2 linked regions of the Elephas maximus indicus genome follow. The protein of the gene in region 1 interacts with the protein of each later gene in a biochemical or structural test. Links are inferred from orthologs where the notes say so. Each region holds a gene or a part of one and is shown on either strand. Other genes may lie near its edges.

Region 1 (7,908 bases):
AATTAGTCTTTCAAGCCATTTTGCTAATGAAATTTTTAATTTATGCCTCGGTCTCAGGTTAATCAAGCTAAACTCTTCTATACTCTATTGGTATAAAAACTGCCCTACTTTCAGGGGCTCTCTTGTACTGAAATGATGTGTATGAAAGGACTACTCTTCCAAGCCTCATACCAACCAAGCAAACTCTTTCACTTGTCAAAGGTAGCGTGAATCTCTTCCACTTATGCTATCATAGAAACCGAACTTTATATGAGCCACAAAATAAAACAAATATTCCTTTGATTCAGAGTTAACTTGCAAGAGAGCAGGAAAAACCTTGTGCCAATCCTGAATTGCTAAGGCAAACTGCAAAACAATAATTAAACAAATAACTGTGAGAGCACCCTAAAGGAATATACAGAACACCTTGTCCTTAGTATATGGAGTTCTTATCAGTCTTCCCCCTCAATAAACAGTCAATACCATCACCAAATACTATTGAAGCCTACCATCACTTTCAAGTTGGCAAGTTTCTTGAACACAGGCCAATTTAGATCACAAAGCTTTTCGAAGCGCCTTCTCTATGCGAAGCAGGGACTAGAAGCTAAGAACACATAGATAAATATAATACAGTGTCTCACCCTCATAAAGCAAATAATCTCAATAACGTGTTGCCTTCTTTAGTACACACCCAGAAAGCCCCTTTACCGGCTATCTCTATCAGCCACAGTTTTGTTTAGACTGTTATATGTATTACAAAAACAGGTAAGTTAAACCACACACACGCACGCAGGCACACACACACACACGCACGCACACACGCCCTGCCACACCAGTCTGATCCCAAGAAAGGAGAAACGTTCGGCAAAGAAAGGGGCAATTTCCCCATTCCTCCTTTAAAAAATCACCAGCTTACTGGCTCATCTTTCAAAGCCCAACTAAAATACAATTTGGAACAAACTCGTCAAAAATCAGTATGCCTCTTTTAAAGTGGCACTTAACCAAAAAAAAAAAAAAAATTAAGGCAACCTATGTCAGAGATTCTATATTTTACCAGTAGAAACAACTCTTTGCATCATCAGAAACATTTAAAAATACACCAGGAAATAATGCTAGTATTTAAATTAAAAAACTTAATCTTATCGATTAAAAATAACAAGAGTCTGTCCAGGCAATGACAAAGCTAAAAATGTCATCTATCACTAATAAGGGTGAATCACAGCAGTCACCTCCTCCACCCAATAGCCACCTTTGCTAAGACTGAACAGCTTAAAACCTAGAAAGCTTTCCTTGCCTACTTCAAGCCAGAAATGAATTCACTTCAAATACTAAAGTTTAAATATAGCTATGCAATAGCAGGAAACTATTAGGAAATAATAAATTTACCAGGACATTTTGTTCTTTAGACTTAGTTCTGCCTTCTTCACAATTTAGCGCGCCCCCACCCCCGTTTTTAACGAGAAGCCTAACAAATACTCTTAACTGAAAAATGAATCATGCCTTTGGATTTTCAAGATAAATTTCTATTACTAGAGTATAGGAGGAGACGTTACTACACATTGTCTTATCAAAAAGGTGACTGCATCTTCTTTTAACTCTGAAGCATGTGAACTGATTCAATATTTAAAGGGTTCACTGATGTCCTCTGTAAGCCGTTTCCCAGGACAAGACGCTTCAGCCCTGCACATGTACAAACCTACTGGGACATTTGAATCCATATTGTGTAGTAGCAGCCTAGAACTGGGGAAAGATTCACTCATTGCTGGAAAATCAACTTGAGTCTCAAGAACTTAAATTGAATAAAAAAGGCAAGGATAATAACCTTCTCAGAGCCTCTACATTGGCGAACAATTAGGCAAGCCCTCGCCCCCCTTTTTTCCCCATTCCCATGAAATTCTCAATGAAAGGCATTACACAAAAGGGCCTCGGCGCTCCAGACACCCGATTCTGACGCCCCCACCACCCATTCTCCCACCACCGAGACCACCAGTCCAGACTCACCAGGACGGTGGTGCAGATGGATCTCAGTTCAGACTCCACTTTCTCCCGATAGTCCTTAATCAGCTGCAACTTCTTGTCGGAGGTGTCGGTTTTCTGCTCGATGCTCGAGATGACCCTCCAGGCGGACCTGCGGCCCCCGACGACGTTCTTGTAGGCCACCGAGAGCAGGTTGCGCTCCTCGTTGGACAGCTCGGCCCCCTGCTCCGTCACCGCCTTCATGCAGGTGGCCATGTCGTCGTAGCGCTCAGCCTGCTCGGCCAGCTTCGCCTTCTGGATCAACTCCGTCTTCTCCATGGTGGACAGGCGGCGTGCGGGGCTCGGGTGGCGGCGGCGCTCCGGGAGGGGACGGGGAGAAGAGACAGGCAGAGACAGCGAGGGCGGCGAGAACCAACCCGGATCAGGAAGAGCCCTCCTCGAAAGCCTGCGGGAGGGGCGGCGTGGGGAGCGCCGAGAGTGGCGAGATAGGAGCCGAGAACAAAAAGGAGGGGGAGGAGAGCGCGCACCGTCAGACAATGCGGCCCACACCCCGCCCAGCCCGCAGGCCGGCCCCGCCGCCCCGGGCCGCCCGCCCGCCCGCCTGCCTTTTGTCTCGGCGGCCGCGGCGGAATTGAATTTCCCTCTCCCCCCCGCCCACGCTCACCCGCCTAGGCACCCCGGGAGAGGCCGGCGGGGCGGGGTCGGCGGGGCGGCCGGGGGCTGAAAGGCCAAGGCCGAAGGCCAGGGAGGCGGAGGCGGCGCCCACGCGGCCAGCCAGCGGCCCGGCGGCGCGCGGGAAGCGGGAGGAAGGGCCACCCCCGCCCAGCCCGGGAAGCCCAAAATGGAAGCGGTCGTCAGCCCTGCATTTTCCCCGCCGATCGCTGCCTCTGAGGAGACTGGCGTCGAGAGCCAGCCGTGGCCGAGGGCTGCGCCTCCCACCCTGCCCTGGAGCCCAGGAAGGCCGGAGGAGGGGCGGGGGAGCGATCCCGGCGCTCACCTTTACCGTCTCCGCTACCGCGACGCGAGTCCCACCACTTTGATGTGCTTTTTAGCTTTAGCGAAGGACCCTCCCGTCTCAGCCTACCCCGGAGCCGAAGGGCGGGCAGCGGCGCGACAGCCCTCGCGCCCGCCGCCCAATGATACGCCGCTCTTCCCCCAAGAGTCCCACCTCCTACTCCGTTACCAACCAATGAGGACTAAGCGCGCGGAAGGGGGCGAGGGAGGGGGTGGGGTGGGAGGGGAAGCGGAGGACAGGAGGGTGGGTCGCATTTGGCAAAGTTCGGTTGGCCGGTAGGCTGCGGCTTCGGCCACGGGGTTTCCTCCAATTAGATCCAGGGTAAAAGGACGTCACTGTTGCCATGGTGATGCTGTTACCAACTCCCCTCATCCTCCCCGCCACCCCCGGCGCTTCTGGGTGCGGCACGAGACCGAGAGGCTCGCAAGACCTCTCCCGCGGTGGCAGAGTCTCTTTCTGCAGCAGCCACTGCAGATGGTGCATTGCATCTTGTTGCCTAATGCAGCTGCAGCGCTGGTCGGTCCTGACTGAGGCTGGGCTTCGGAGGGTGACAGAATGGGCCCTCTCGCTGCACAAGCGCCTTTCTTTCCTCCACCTTCCTATTCGTGACAAAGGTTTGGAGCTCAATATACTAAACCCAGCCTTTAATGACGTTGCGATTAGGGCAGCAAATTAGAAACAATCTCATCCCCATTAGAGAAGATTTAGTTCCTGGAGAAAGTGGCTTAAGTGTGGCTTTTACCTGATAAATTCAAGTTTTCCGACGGGTACCTAAAAACTAAAATTCCCCTGCATAAAGGTAGATCCAAGGAGGTCTAAGCAGACTTATCTGACAATGCTAGTTAGCATGATTTAAAAAAGAAAAAAAAAATGACATTAAGGACCATTTGGAGCAAAACACCCAGAACCTGCTCCCCACATCACAAGCAACTAATTTTAAATTTCCACCTTTTCTATATTTAATGCATTTAAATACATTTTCTTTTCACATCACTATTTTATGTGTAACATGGTTTTTATTTTCTGGCGTTATTTTTGAGATGACACTTGAAAAGCCAAAATTCTCTCAAGACGTTGTCTTCTGTTTTTCTCCTCATGGTGAAACCCTTCTGAAGTGAAAACGATTGCCCCAGATGCCTTGTTTTCAGGGTGGCGCCTAACATCTTCTTGTTCCTTGCCTAGCCTCCACCAGCTACTTCTTTCTCTGCTGGCATTTCCCCAGCCCCTCAAGTCCAAGTTAGGTCTTCTAGGTCTGGGAAGGGGCTTGGTGCCATCTTGGGATGTAAATTGCCATCTGGGCACACAATGTTATGATTCCAGTTCCAGCAAGGGAGAATGGATCATTGAAAGCCAAGGAGTGCCACAGCCAAGTAAGAATTTGAAATTCCAAGTGGAGACTGAGAGCAAATCTGGAGAATCTCTAGAATGGAAGACCTGAGAGTGCAAACAGATGGGAGGAGAGGATTCGGACTTTCCAGAAATTTAAACTCTCTCCCAGCTGCCCCTCCCAGTCCTGACTTCTAAAGGTTGCTTTGTATCTTGACAGACAGGAGAGGCCTGATTTGGAAAAGGCCTGTGTCTTAATACAGAAATGCCTTACTATGTTCCAGCTTTCTAATGGAGGGCCCTGCTGTTATTTCTGGAATCCCTGGGGCTGGGCTGTAGACACACGAGTGTTTATGGCCATGTGGGCTGGGGTGGAGCCGGACACGGAGAAATCCCAATGGAAAGAATTTGCATGTAGAAGGTCAGATAAAATGCTTTCTGTATAACCAGTGCATTTCAAGTTTACTGGAATTAGAAACAGCAAGGGCAGAAGCCAGTGGAGGTGGTGGTGGTGGGGAGACACTGGAGGGGAATCGTCAGGGGACTGAACATCAGTGGTAGGGAGAGAGGGGTCACCCAGAAGGGGCGAGCACACTAAATTCTTTGTCAGAAAGCCTGGGTTGTACTGCCATCTCGCTGGGTGACCTTGGGCAAGTTTTTGCTGCTCGCTGTACCTCAGCTTCTAGAAAATTCCTACTTTCATTCAATCATCAAATATTTGTTGAGCATCTGCTTCACATGGTGACAATCATCTGGAATCATGGTGAAAACTTCTTCGAAAATTTGGCGCACTGTGGAATTGTAAAGTATTTTATGAGGGTCCAGAGGGATAAGTCTGTATACCTAAAGACCTCTGCACCCAAAAGAGCTCAAGTTGGAGAAAAATAAGACTCTGAGAGCTTGAATTCCCTGGACACATAAAGTACTAACATTTATTTTAAGTCTCTTATAAGCATTGTAGGTATTGACTCGACGGCACTGGGTTTTGTGTTTTGTAAGCATTAACTCATTTAGTCTGCTTAATACCTCTATGAAGTAGGTATTACTATGATGAGTGTCTCTATTATCTCCATTGAGGCACAGGAAGGTTTAAATATTATGCTCAGTGTCACACAGCCAGTGAGTGGTAGAGCCTGAATTTGGACCCAGGCTCTCTGAGCTCTGATGGCACAGTGGTTAAGAGCTACTATGATCTCCAAGGAAATAAGTGAGCTACGGTTGCTAACCAAAAGGTTTGCAGTTTGAATCCATCAGCCACTTCTTGGAAACCCTATGGGGCAGATCTACTCTGTCTTACAGGGCCACTATGAGTCAGAATCAACTCAACGTCAATTGGGTTGGTTTTTTTCTGGTTTATGCCATGGCTGCCTCACCAAGTTTCCCCAGATCTTTGCTAGGTGCTGTGGGGGCTTCTAGGAAGGATCAGACAAGTCTGTTCTCTAGAAGTTTCATTCTAATAAATACGAAATATGTTAAATATCCACATCCAACGTGCTGAGAACCCTCAGGAACAAACAGCTAACAAAGTACTGAGAAGTCATTGCCTTATTTATTTGATGTTCTTGTTATTTTTTTCTAAATGACCTGGTGAGAAGAAACTGATGGGACAGGGGGAAGCACACTGGACCTGAAACCAGGAAATCCTAAATCCCACTCCACTGTTCATTTGCAGTTTGACCTTGGACACCTTATTATCCTTTCTTAAACTTGGTGTCCTAACCTGTGATAAAACCCATTGCCATTGAGTCGATTCTGATTCATAGTGACCCTATAGGACAGAGTAGAACTGCCCCATAGGGTTTCCAAGGAGCGGCTGGTTGATTCGCACTGCGGACCTTTTAGTAAGCAGCCAAATTCTTAACCACTGTGCCATAAGGGCTAAAAGTACATTTTCACCTCCCATGTGGGAGACCCAGCTTCGATTCCCAGCCAATGCATTTCTTGAGCAGCCACCACCCATCTCTCGGTGGAGGTCTGGTGTTGCTATGAGGCCGAACAGATTTCAGTGGAGTGGCCAGACTAAGACAGACTAGGAAGAAAGGCCTGGAGATCTACTTCCAAAAATTAGCCAGTGAAGCCCCTGTGGATCACAGTAGTCCAATCCCCAATCAATTATGTGGATGGGGTATAACCGGGCAGCATTTTATTTCTTTGTGCATGGTGTCACCGTGAGTTGGGGGCTTGACTCGGCAGCAGCTAACGATAACAGCAATAATAATCCCTACCTCAAAGGGTTGCTGTGATTAAATTTCACTTAAGAAAATGCCAGGCATATAGCAGTGGTCAGTTAACATGAGTTTTCTTTCCTTCTGCTTAGGGTGGGGACTCAGGGCAGGAGGGAGGTGCTTGTCCTGCTGCAAGGAGCCTTAGAGTCTTCCAAAATGTTAGTGAAAGCTTATCTCTTGAATCATGGTTCTAATTAGTGGAGTTAATGGTCTGCAGAATGGCTACATTCAGTGTACATTCCAGAAGGAATGAGTCCTCTGGTTGAGTTTACTCTCATCAATTGTTTCATTGGTTTATTTGCCCAGCACCATGGATCATCAGAGAGGAATCTGTTCCTCTCCTACCATATGGCAGGTATTTCACTGACAAATGTTTGAGTGGAACTTTTCACCCAAAAGGCCCGTATAATTATTATCAATACTTCTGTTTAAGGGATAAAGAGTTGCACCCCCTCCCGCCTTTAGCCAGCCCTGAGGTGCTAAATGAAGACTCACTTAGAGCCAGGGTCAGGTGGAAAAAGCCAGCCTGGTCAGGAAAACATCTTCCTACACATTCCCTGGCTTAGGGCCAGGGTTAGGCCTAAAGCATTATCCTTCCATCAGCAACTGCAGCCGGCAAGGTTTATTCCTGCCATCTGCAGGCTCCCCAGTCAGTGCACTTAATTGCTTCATCTCTGACATCTCCTGGGCACCCCTAAGCCACACACTGTTTTCAAACTCTCTTTCTTCCTACCTCCCTGTAAGTGCTCAGGAAAAAAATGTAATAGACTCATTCCATCACATAAAAAACTTGTAAGTATTCAAGCAATATTTCTTCTGCCATTATTTGCATTTTAAGATGAAAGACAGCTCTTAAGTCTGAAGAATAAAACTTTAATGGTAGAATGGTAGGCATTCTAAACAGCTCTCAATCAGCTGGCCACTTGGGGAAGCGCTTTAGCATTCTGACATTTATCCAGCATTTTCTGTACGCCGGGCAATCAAGTTTGTTTGTTTTTTTAAATGCTCAAATGTTTTTGTAGTGATGATAATGGTGATGACGATAATCTTAATAAGGAATGTAATACCACTCGTTATACAAAATAAAAAATCAAATGCAAAAATGTTAAACATGAAAAGAAATTAAGTGTGCAAGAGAAAGTAAACAGGGGTTGGGAGCCTACCTCTGAGAGGTTATCATTGTTTTCATTTTGGTGACTTCTAAATAATCTCTCTTCATTTGTACACATGTGGCTATATGTGTTGGGAGCCCTGGTGGTGCAGTGGTTAAAGCGCTCGACTGCTAACCAAAAAGTCGGCAGTTTGAACCCACCAACCACTCCACGGGAGAAAGACATGGCAGTCTTCTTCTGTAGAGATTTACAGCCTTGGAAACCCTATAGGGCA
Region 2 (7,559 bases), on another chromosome or scaffold:
AGCAAGTCCTGACAGCCCCACCTTCACAATCAATCCAGCTCCTTCTCACCACCTCCACTGCCACCTCCCTGGCCCAAGTCACCATCTTCTCTTGCTTTATTTACAGAAGAGAAACCTGAGGCTCAGAGAGGTTATAGACTCACCCAAAGCCAGCCAGTAAGCATGTATGTGGCTGGGGTGCAGAGAGCTACTGGGCAGGCGGTGATCTTAGGGGGTTCCTACCTCCAAGGTGGCCGCTGCTGGTCGGCTGCCTCTGCTGGTGACTGGCGTCCCGCAACAGCCTCCCCTCTGGCCTCCGCTTCTGCTTTGCCCATTACAGACCAGTCTCAACATTGTGGCCCCAGGCACTCAGCAAACCTGACCAAGTCCCCTCTGCTCTCAGCTCTCTACTGTTTCTTTTCAGAGTATACGCCACAGCCCTTACAATGGCCTTCGAGGCCCTGCCCAGGCCACCTGTCCCCCTCATTAACTCTGATGGCATCTCAACTATTCTCCCCTGTACCTTCTTTCTCCTCTCCGGCCTCACTAGCCTGGACCACGACTTGCCTACGGGACTTTGCATATGCTATTCCCTCTGCCTGGTACTCTCTTCCCACAGACACTTGTGTGGCTCACCCATATCCCCTTCAAGGTTTTGCTCAAATGTTGCTTCTTACCAAGGCTGACCCTGACCCTGGCATCTCAGTTAAAATCCCATGGCCAGTCCTCAGGACTCACCTGACTCTGTTTGCATACACGCCCCTCTCCCAAGCACACATTATCTTCCCAGACATTATAGCATTTCCCTGTCTGCTTGTTTGTTTATGGCCTGTCTCTCCAACCCCACTAGAATGTAAGCTCCACAAGGGCAAAATTTTCATCTCTGTGGTCACTGATGAAGGAGTCCTGGTGGCGCAGTGGTTAAGGACTGGGCTGCTAACCAAAAGGTTGGCAGTTCGAACCCACCAGCCACTCCAAGGGAGAAAGATGTGGCAGTTTGCTTCTGTAAAGATTTACAGTCTTGGAAACCCTGTGGGGCAGTTCTATTTTGTCCTGTAGGGTCGCTAAGAATCAGAATCGAGTTGATGGCAACGGGTTTTTAGTCACTGATGTGCCCCTAGAAACGGGGACAACACGTGGGACCTGATAAAAGGAGGAAGAGAACACTGAGGGGGTCCCAAGGAGGGGTGGGTACGTGTTGTTATTCGCCTTCCAGTTGATTCCCACTCATGGTGAACCCATGTATGTCGGAGTAGAACTGCTCCGTAGGGTTTTAAGGCTGCGATCTTTCAGAAGCAGACGGCCAGGCGGGTCTTTTCAGTGCCTCTGGGTGGGTTCGAATCACCAACCTTTCAGCTAGTAGTCAAGTGCTTAACCGTTTGCACCACCCAGGGTCTCCTACTAAGTACTCAATAAGTGGAGGAAGAGAACGATGAGGGAGCCCAAAGGAGGGGTAGGAAGAGCCAGGTTGGGTGTGGAAACAGCTGAGAGCAGAAAAAGCTGCTTGAGGATCCTCTGCAATTCAGCCTGACAGGACAGAGTGTGCAGGAAAGAGGGAGGGGAGGCCACCCAGGCCTTCCTGTTCCTGAAGAAAATGGGAGTTATATAAGCTTCGGTGGGTAAGCGACATGGTCTGGTGTGTGTTTTCAGAAGGTCTCTGTAACTGTCTCAGGTGCCAAGGCCCGTCCCAGGCACCAGGCACGTGAAGACTATAGACAAATGGCCACTGCCCGCCAACGTCCTTCCATCCGGGCTGGGCCTGAGTAGGTGGGAAGGGCAACCAATAGCCTGTGCTGGAGAGTAGACAGCTCTTTCCAGCAACTTCCCACACCACCCCCTACATGGCCACTGCCTGGGAGGACTGTCTGCCACTTCAGGTAACCTGCCCCAGCAACTGTGCAAAAATAGCTCAGTCCTAGGGTAAGCAGGTAGCCTACGGCAGGATGTAGCCTGGACAGGCCACCAAGGAGCCTTCCACCCCTGCCTCCTACCAAAGGTACCTCAAGCATGACCTTAGTCAAGTCACTTCCCCTTTCTTGCTCTCTGCCTGCTCCTCAGTGATTTCTGTCCTGGCCCTACAACAACAGCTACGTTTTTTGGAGCATCTCCGATGTGCCAACACTATGACAAAGTGCTTCCTATATATTGCTACTAATTGCCCCGAAAACCCTACAATAGTGATGTGATTCATTGCTTTATTTACAGAAAAGGAACCTGAAGCTTAGAGAGGTTATAGACTCACCCAAAGCCAGCCAGTAAGCATGTATGTGGCTGGGGTGCAGAGAGCTACTGGGCAGGAGGTGATATTAGGGGGTTCCTACCTCCAAGGTGGCCGCTGCTGGTCGGCTGCCCCTGCTGGTGACTGGCGTCCCGCAGGAAGCCTGGGGCCACACGGTGGCGGTCGCTGGGGCCTGAAGGCCAGTACCCTTCGGGGCTGGGGCCCAGGGCCCTGTCTGCAGGGGTGGAGTCTTCCCGGTCACTCTGCTCAAACTCTGGGATCTGGAACATACTCTGGGCTGTGGGGGCAAGATGGTGGGTGGTTAGGGCACAGCCGGAGCAAACGGGAACCTGTGGGGGTACAGCAGAGACGTCCCTGGCTCACTCTCTGCCCCTAGAGCCCGCCTGCCTCCCAGACTCATCTGTCTGCCCAGTCTGGCTCTGCCGGGTGCTCAGCCTGTCCAGCTGGGACCTAAATCTTCCCTTGGAGCACTGGTGCTGTAGGGCAGCCCCAGACCCCCACCCAGGCCGTCTCTCCTGGGATGACCGCACACAGGTCTCACCCCAAGCCCGATCTCGAGGCCCCTGACCCGGGCCTGCCGTCTCCCTCCAGTACTGAGGGCGCCCTGCCCTAGTTGCTTGGGCAACGGGAACTGTCACCGGCCTGGCCCAATCAACTCGTGAAATGTCACTCGGGCTGGACAGGAGGCGGGCCCACTCTATACCGGCCCCGCCCCACCGCCCAACCTGCAGCCCGCCCGATGATCTCCTGCGTCCCTTCTTCTTCTCCGGATGTTCAGCTCCCGACATCCTCACGCCTTGGGCGTGTGTGGAAGCCGGTGAGGGATTCTCTGGGGGCCTCCATTTGGAGCCTGGAGACTCGTTTCTGCTGATAAGCCCTTCAGCCCCTCCGGGGCTTAGTTTCCACCCCTGTAAAATGGGGATAATGACACCTCCCTCCGGAGCCAGTGAAAACTTTGTAAACAGAGTGGTGATTACTGTGGCTGAAAGCACTTTGCAAAGTCGCAGTTGACAGTCAGAAGTCGGATGCAATGACTTGCTGTTGTTACGGTTCTGGAGGGGTGATGGGGTCGGCAAGTCCCACTCCGTCCTCTTCCCTAGCGTGGGAACCGCGCCGTGGAAACCATGCCGCCCGCAACAGGGCACCACTCCCCGCGCCATCTCTGGAGCATCCGAGATAAGAGAGGGAGCCTCCACCCTGGCCGGATGACTGCCCGGGGCGCAGAGAAGGCGCAGGGACCCCTGTGAGGGTGACCCATAGTACTCGCGACGGTTTCGCCCCTGGCAGGCAGCATGCAGGCGGCCGGCCAGGTGAGCGGGCATCACCGCGGCGGGCCAGTTCTTGGGGCTGGCTGCCCAGCGGGGGCTCCGGGGTCCAGCGGTTTAAGACCCGCGGAGTCGGGGGGGAAGGGAGGCAGACCCGGAGGCCATCTTGGCTATGGGCGGAAGTTCCCTTCACAGGCGAGGTGACGAGAAATCGTTGCCGCCCCCCGCCGGGGACACGATCCGGGTTTGGGCATAGAGAGGAGAAGGATGGGAGCTGATGGGCCCCAAACCAGCAAAGGCCAGTGGTCCAGGCCACGGCCCACCCGAGCGCTAGTGGAATGGGGCGCGGCTCCGGCGTCTAGGCCGCCCGCCGCCTCTCGTAACCCCTGGAGCCCGCTGACGGCGCACCTCGCGCCAATTCTCGAACGGCCCCACGCCGGGCGCGGCGCGGGGCTGCGGAGCCGAGGTCTGCCCCTGCGCAATTTGCGTAGCGAACGGCGCCCGCGCAGGCGCAGAAGGGGGCGGAGCAGCGGGAGCCGGGGAGCCGGAGCCCCGGGTCCCGGCGACCGGAGCCGGCTCCCCCAGCGGCGGTCTGAGGACCAGACGGCGGTCTCCACCAGCCCCCCGCGGCTGGAGAGGAGACGCGGTGGGGGGTGGGGTGGAGGAGCGTGCGGAATCCCGAGGAGAGAAGGCAGAGGCGCCCCCATTCGGATTGTTGGAGGGGAAAGAACCCTCCTAGCCTGAGGAGGGGGAGAGCGGGGCTTTGGGGCGCCCCCTGCAGGGGCCGATACCCTGAGCGGACGCGCATCGCCGGCTCTCCCCCTCCTGCTGACACCGGCACGAGTCAGCACAAGGCCGGGGATCCCTCTCCTACAGCCTCTGCACCTATCCACCTGGCTCTGGGGTGGCCCAGGGAGGAGACCCCCATCTACCCTGGAGAGGAGAGGCTGTCCTTTCACGCCCCTGAGTGACGGGGCCGGGGCCCAGGCTGCCTGTGCCCCGCAAAGACGAGAATCCCTCTGGTGAGGGGAAGGACCTGGCCAGCCACAACGCCTTGCCCCCTGAGCTCCCTACCTCTGTCTCAGCACCCACCCGCAGTCCCCTCCCCTCCGTATTTATTTCCCTGGGCACTGGCCAGCCCGTCCATCTCTGTCTTCTCCGGGATTCAGGCCTCCCTCCCTGATATGGAGAGTAACCTGTCTGGCCTGGTGCCTGCTGCTGGGCTGGTGCCTGCGCTGCCACCCGCCGTGACCCTGGGGCTGACCGCCGCCTACACCACCCTGTATGCCCTGCTCTTCTTCTCCGTCTATGCCCAGCTCTGGCTGGTGCTCCTGTACGGGCACAAGCGGCTCAGCTACCAGACGGTGTTCCTGGCACTCTGTTTGCTCTGGGCTGCGCTGCGTACCACCCTCTTCTCCTTCTACTTCCGAGACACCCCTCGAGCCAACCGCCTGGGGCCCCTGCCCTTTTGGCTTCTCTACTGCTGCCCTGTCTGCCTGCAGTTCTTCACGCTGACGCTAATGAATCTCTACTTTGCCCAGGTAACCGTGGTAGTGGGTAGTGGATGGGGGCTGGTGGGGGGTGTCAAGCGCCAAGGGCCATAATGAGTGATGGGCATTTCTGCACCCAGGTGGTGTTCAAGGCCAAGGCAAAGCGTCGTCCGGAAATGAGTAGAGGCTTGTAAGTACTTGGGGCCCTGATGAGCTCTGCCTCCAGGCCAGGGGCAGGGAGCAGCCCAGTGTCCATCCTTTCCTACCTCAAAGGGCTGAGGCAAGGGCAACCCAGGGAATGTTTGTGAATGAGGTTGTTGTTGTTGTTAACTGCTGTCTAGGTGGCCCCCGCTTATGGTGACCCCACGCACAACAGAAGGAAACACTGCCAGATCCTGTGCCATTCCCATTGGAAAAGTTAAAGTACCTGGCACAGATGGCTTAGCAGAGGCGTTGCGTATGTGAAAAACAACAATAATAGAAGCAGTAGCGATACTGCGAGGGGTGAGGGTACCAATGTCATCCATGACAGAGGATGCTCCGAAACCAAACTGCACCCTGGGTGACATGGGCCTATGGTCCCGCTGTTATTTACATAAAGTTTTACAGTTTTATAAAGAGCTTTTACAAACACTGTTAATCTTTATAACTAACCTGATATTATCCATATGTGAAAGATGAAAGAACTGAGGTCCAGCAAGGTAAAGGAACATGTTCAAGGTCACAGAGCTGGCAGGAGGCAAAGCCAGGACTCAGACCCAGATTTTTGACTCCCAGTCTCAGGCTCTTTCCACTGTATCACAGCCGTCAGCTACCGCCTGACTTCTTTGGACCTCAGTTTCCCATCTGTAAAACTAGAGGAGCAGGGTTCAGGTTGAAAGATCTGTGGTTCTGATCGGCTCTGGGGGCTCCTTTGGGAGGTTAGGTGAGTGGTGAGCACCAAGTTCAACCTTCTGGGCTGACTGTGCTGTGGGCTGCAGGCTGGCCGTCCGAGGGGCCTTCGTGGGGGCCTCGCTGCTCTTTCTGCTGGTGAACGTGCTGTGTGCTGTGCTATCCCGCCGGCGCCGGGCACAGCCCTGGGCACTACTCCTGGTGCGCATCCTGGTGAGCGACTCCCTCTTCGTCATCTGCGCACTCTCTCTTGCTGCCTGCCTCTGCCTTGTGGCCCGGCGGGCCCCTTCCACCAGCATCTACCTGGAGGCCAAGGTAGGGCCACAGGCTCTAATGCCTGGGTGTCCTTTGGGGTGTCTGGGCAGCCATGTTTGTTGGACAGCAGCCTTCAGGATAGAAAGGAGGCTGGAATCCACTCCTTCCTGATGGTCACCGTTGTTATCTGTGGCAGGGGACCAGTGTGTGCCAGGCAGCTGCAATGGGTGGTGCCATGGTCCTGCTCTATGCCAGCCGGGCCTGTTACAACTTGGCAGCCCTGGCCTTGGCCCCCCGGAGCCGGCTGGACGCCTTCGATTATGACTGGTACAACGTCTCTGACCAGGTGGGCGTTCAGCAGGTCTGCTGCCTCCTAATAGCCATGGCTCCTGGTCCCTGTCCCAGTGCCCCATTGGCACAAACGCAGATTGGCGTGAATCCCTGCCTTCCCCTAGGCGGACCTGGTGAATGACCTGGGGAACAAAGGCTACTTGGTATTTGGCCTCATCCTCTTTGTGTGGGAGCTGTTGCCCACCACCCTGCTGGTGGGCTTCTTCCGAGTGCACCGGCCCCCACAGGACCTGGTGAGTGCCTCCACCTTCCTCTGCGGGCCCAGTGGAGAAGGGTGGATGCTGGGAACCCTTGGGCTGGGCTGGGGGGTGGTAAGGGAGCTTGGTGGGGGCCAAGAGAAGGCATCCATGGTGGCTTTTTCCCCTCCCCAGAGCACCAGCCGCATCCTCAACGGGCAAGTCTTTGGCTCCCGATCCTACTTCTTCGACCGGGCTGGGCACTGTGAAGATGAGGGCTGTTCCTGGGAGCACAGCCGGGGTGAGAGCACCAGGTAGGAGTCCCTACCCTGCCTCAGGCCCCCTGAGCCATGGCCCTCCCCCAAGGTTTTTGTTTCCTTGTCAGTATGAGGTGAGGCCCCCTCCTTCCCATCTCCCCCTACTCCACCCAAAGATGCAGTTGGGCAGAGTCTGGGGAGGGGAGCCCCTCCCACCATGCTCTGTTCTAAGCCTTTTTCCCTCTCCCACCTCTTGTGAACGTGGTCCTGGTCACTGCCCTGGGACTGACCTGGTTTCTCTACCCACAGCATGTCAGGCAGCCTAGGCTCCGGCAGCTGGTACGGCTCCATCGGGCGGGAGCCGAGCTGGTGCGGGGGCAGCCAGACGCGGACTACTCCTCTGCTCTTCTCCCAGGTGCCGGGACCAGGCGGCCATCACCACAGCCTCTACTCTACCCCCCAGACGTGATCCCCCACCCTTCTAGGATGCCCAGACCCCAGTTCCCCTCCCCCTCAGGCCCCTGAGTCAAGTTCATTTGCTGCTTCTTGCCCAGGATCCTAGGGGCTGTAGCCGCCTCCTTCCCTGGCCGGCTCTTCGGCTGCTCCTGTTGTAGTGAGCTTGTGCCACCCCCTAGGGTGGGGGACATGGCCCTGGC

The links. The genes of interacting proteins can lie anywhere in the genome.
Region 2: the proteins of YWHAQ (region 1) and BAD form a complex in vitro, tested with the Homo sapiens proteins (2 studies listed by BioGRID). The link is inferred for Elephas maximus indicus from reciprocal best matches to the Homo sapiens genes YWHAQ and BAD.

Annotation. Positions count from the first base shown.
Region 1 is NC_064830.1:19,016,689-19,024,596, forward strand, and holds the start of YWHAQ (14-3-3 protein theta), read right to left. Parts: upstream 3,064-7,908; 5' UTR 2,954-3,063; intron 2,402-2,953; 5' UTR 2,275-2,401; coding exon 1,981-2,274; intron 1-1,980. UniProt on the Homo sapiens protein: Adapter protein implicated in the regulation of a large spectrum of both general and specialized signaling pathways. Binds to a large number of partners, usually by recognition of a phosphoserine or phosphothreonine motif.
Region 2 is NC_064825.1:127,465,676-127,473,234, forward strand, and holds the start of BAD (bcl2-associated agonist of cell death), read right to left. Parts: upstream 2,958-7,559; 5' UTR 2,944-2,957; intron 2,851-2,943; exon of another isoform or gene 2,760-2,850; intron 2,496-2,759; 5' UTR 2,488-2,495; coding exon 2,301-2,487; intron 1-2,300. Other genes in the region: integral membrane protein GPR137, read left to right, coding at 2,958-3,035, 4,653-5,024, 5,114-5,163, 5,954-6,179, 6,316-6,465, 6,575-6,703, 6,842-6,960, 7,213-7,372. UniProt on the Homo sapiens protein: Promotes cell death. Successfully competes for the binding to Bcl-X(L), Bcl-2 and Bcl-W, thereby affecting the level of heterodimerization of these proteins with BAX. Can reverse the death repressor activity of Bcl-X(L), but not that of Bcl-2.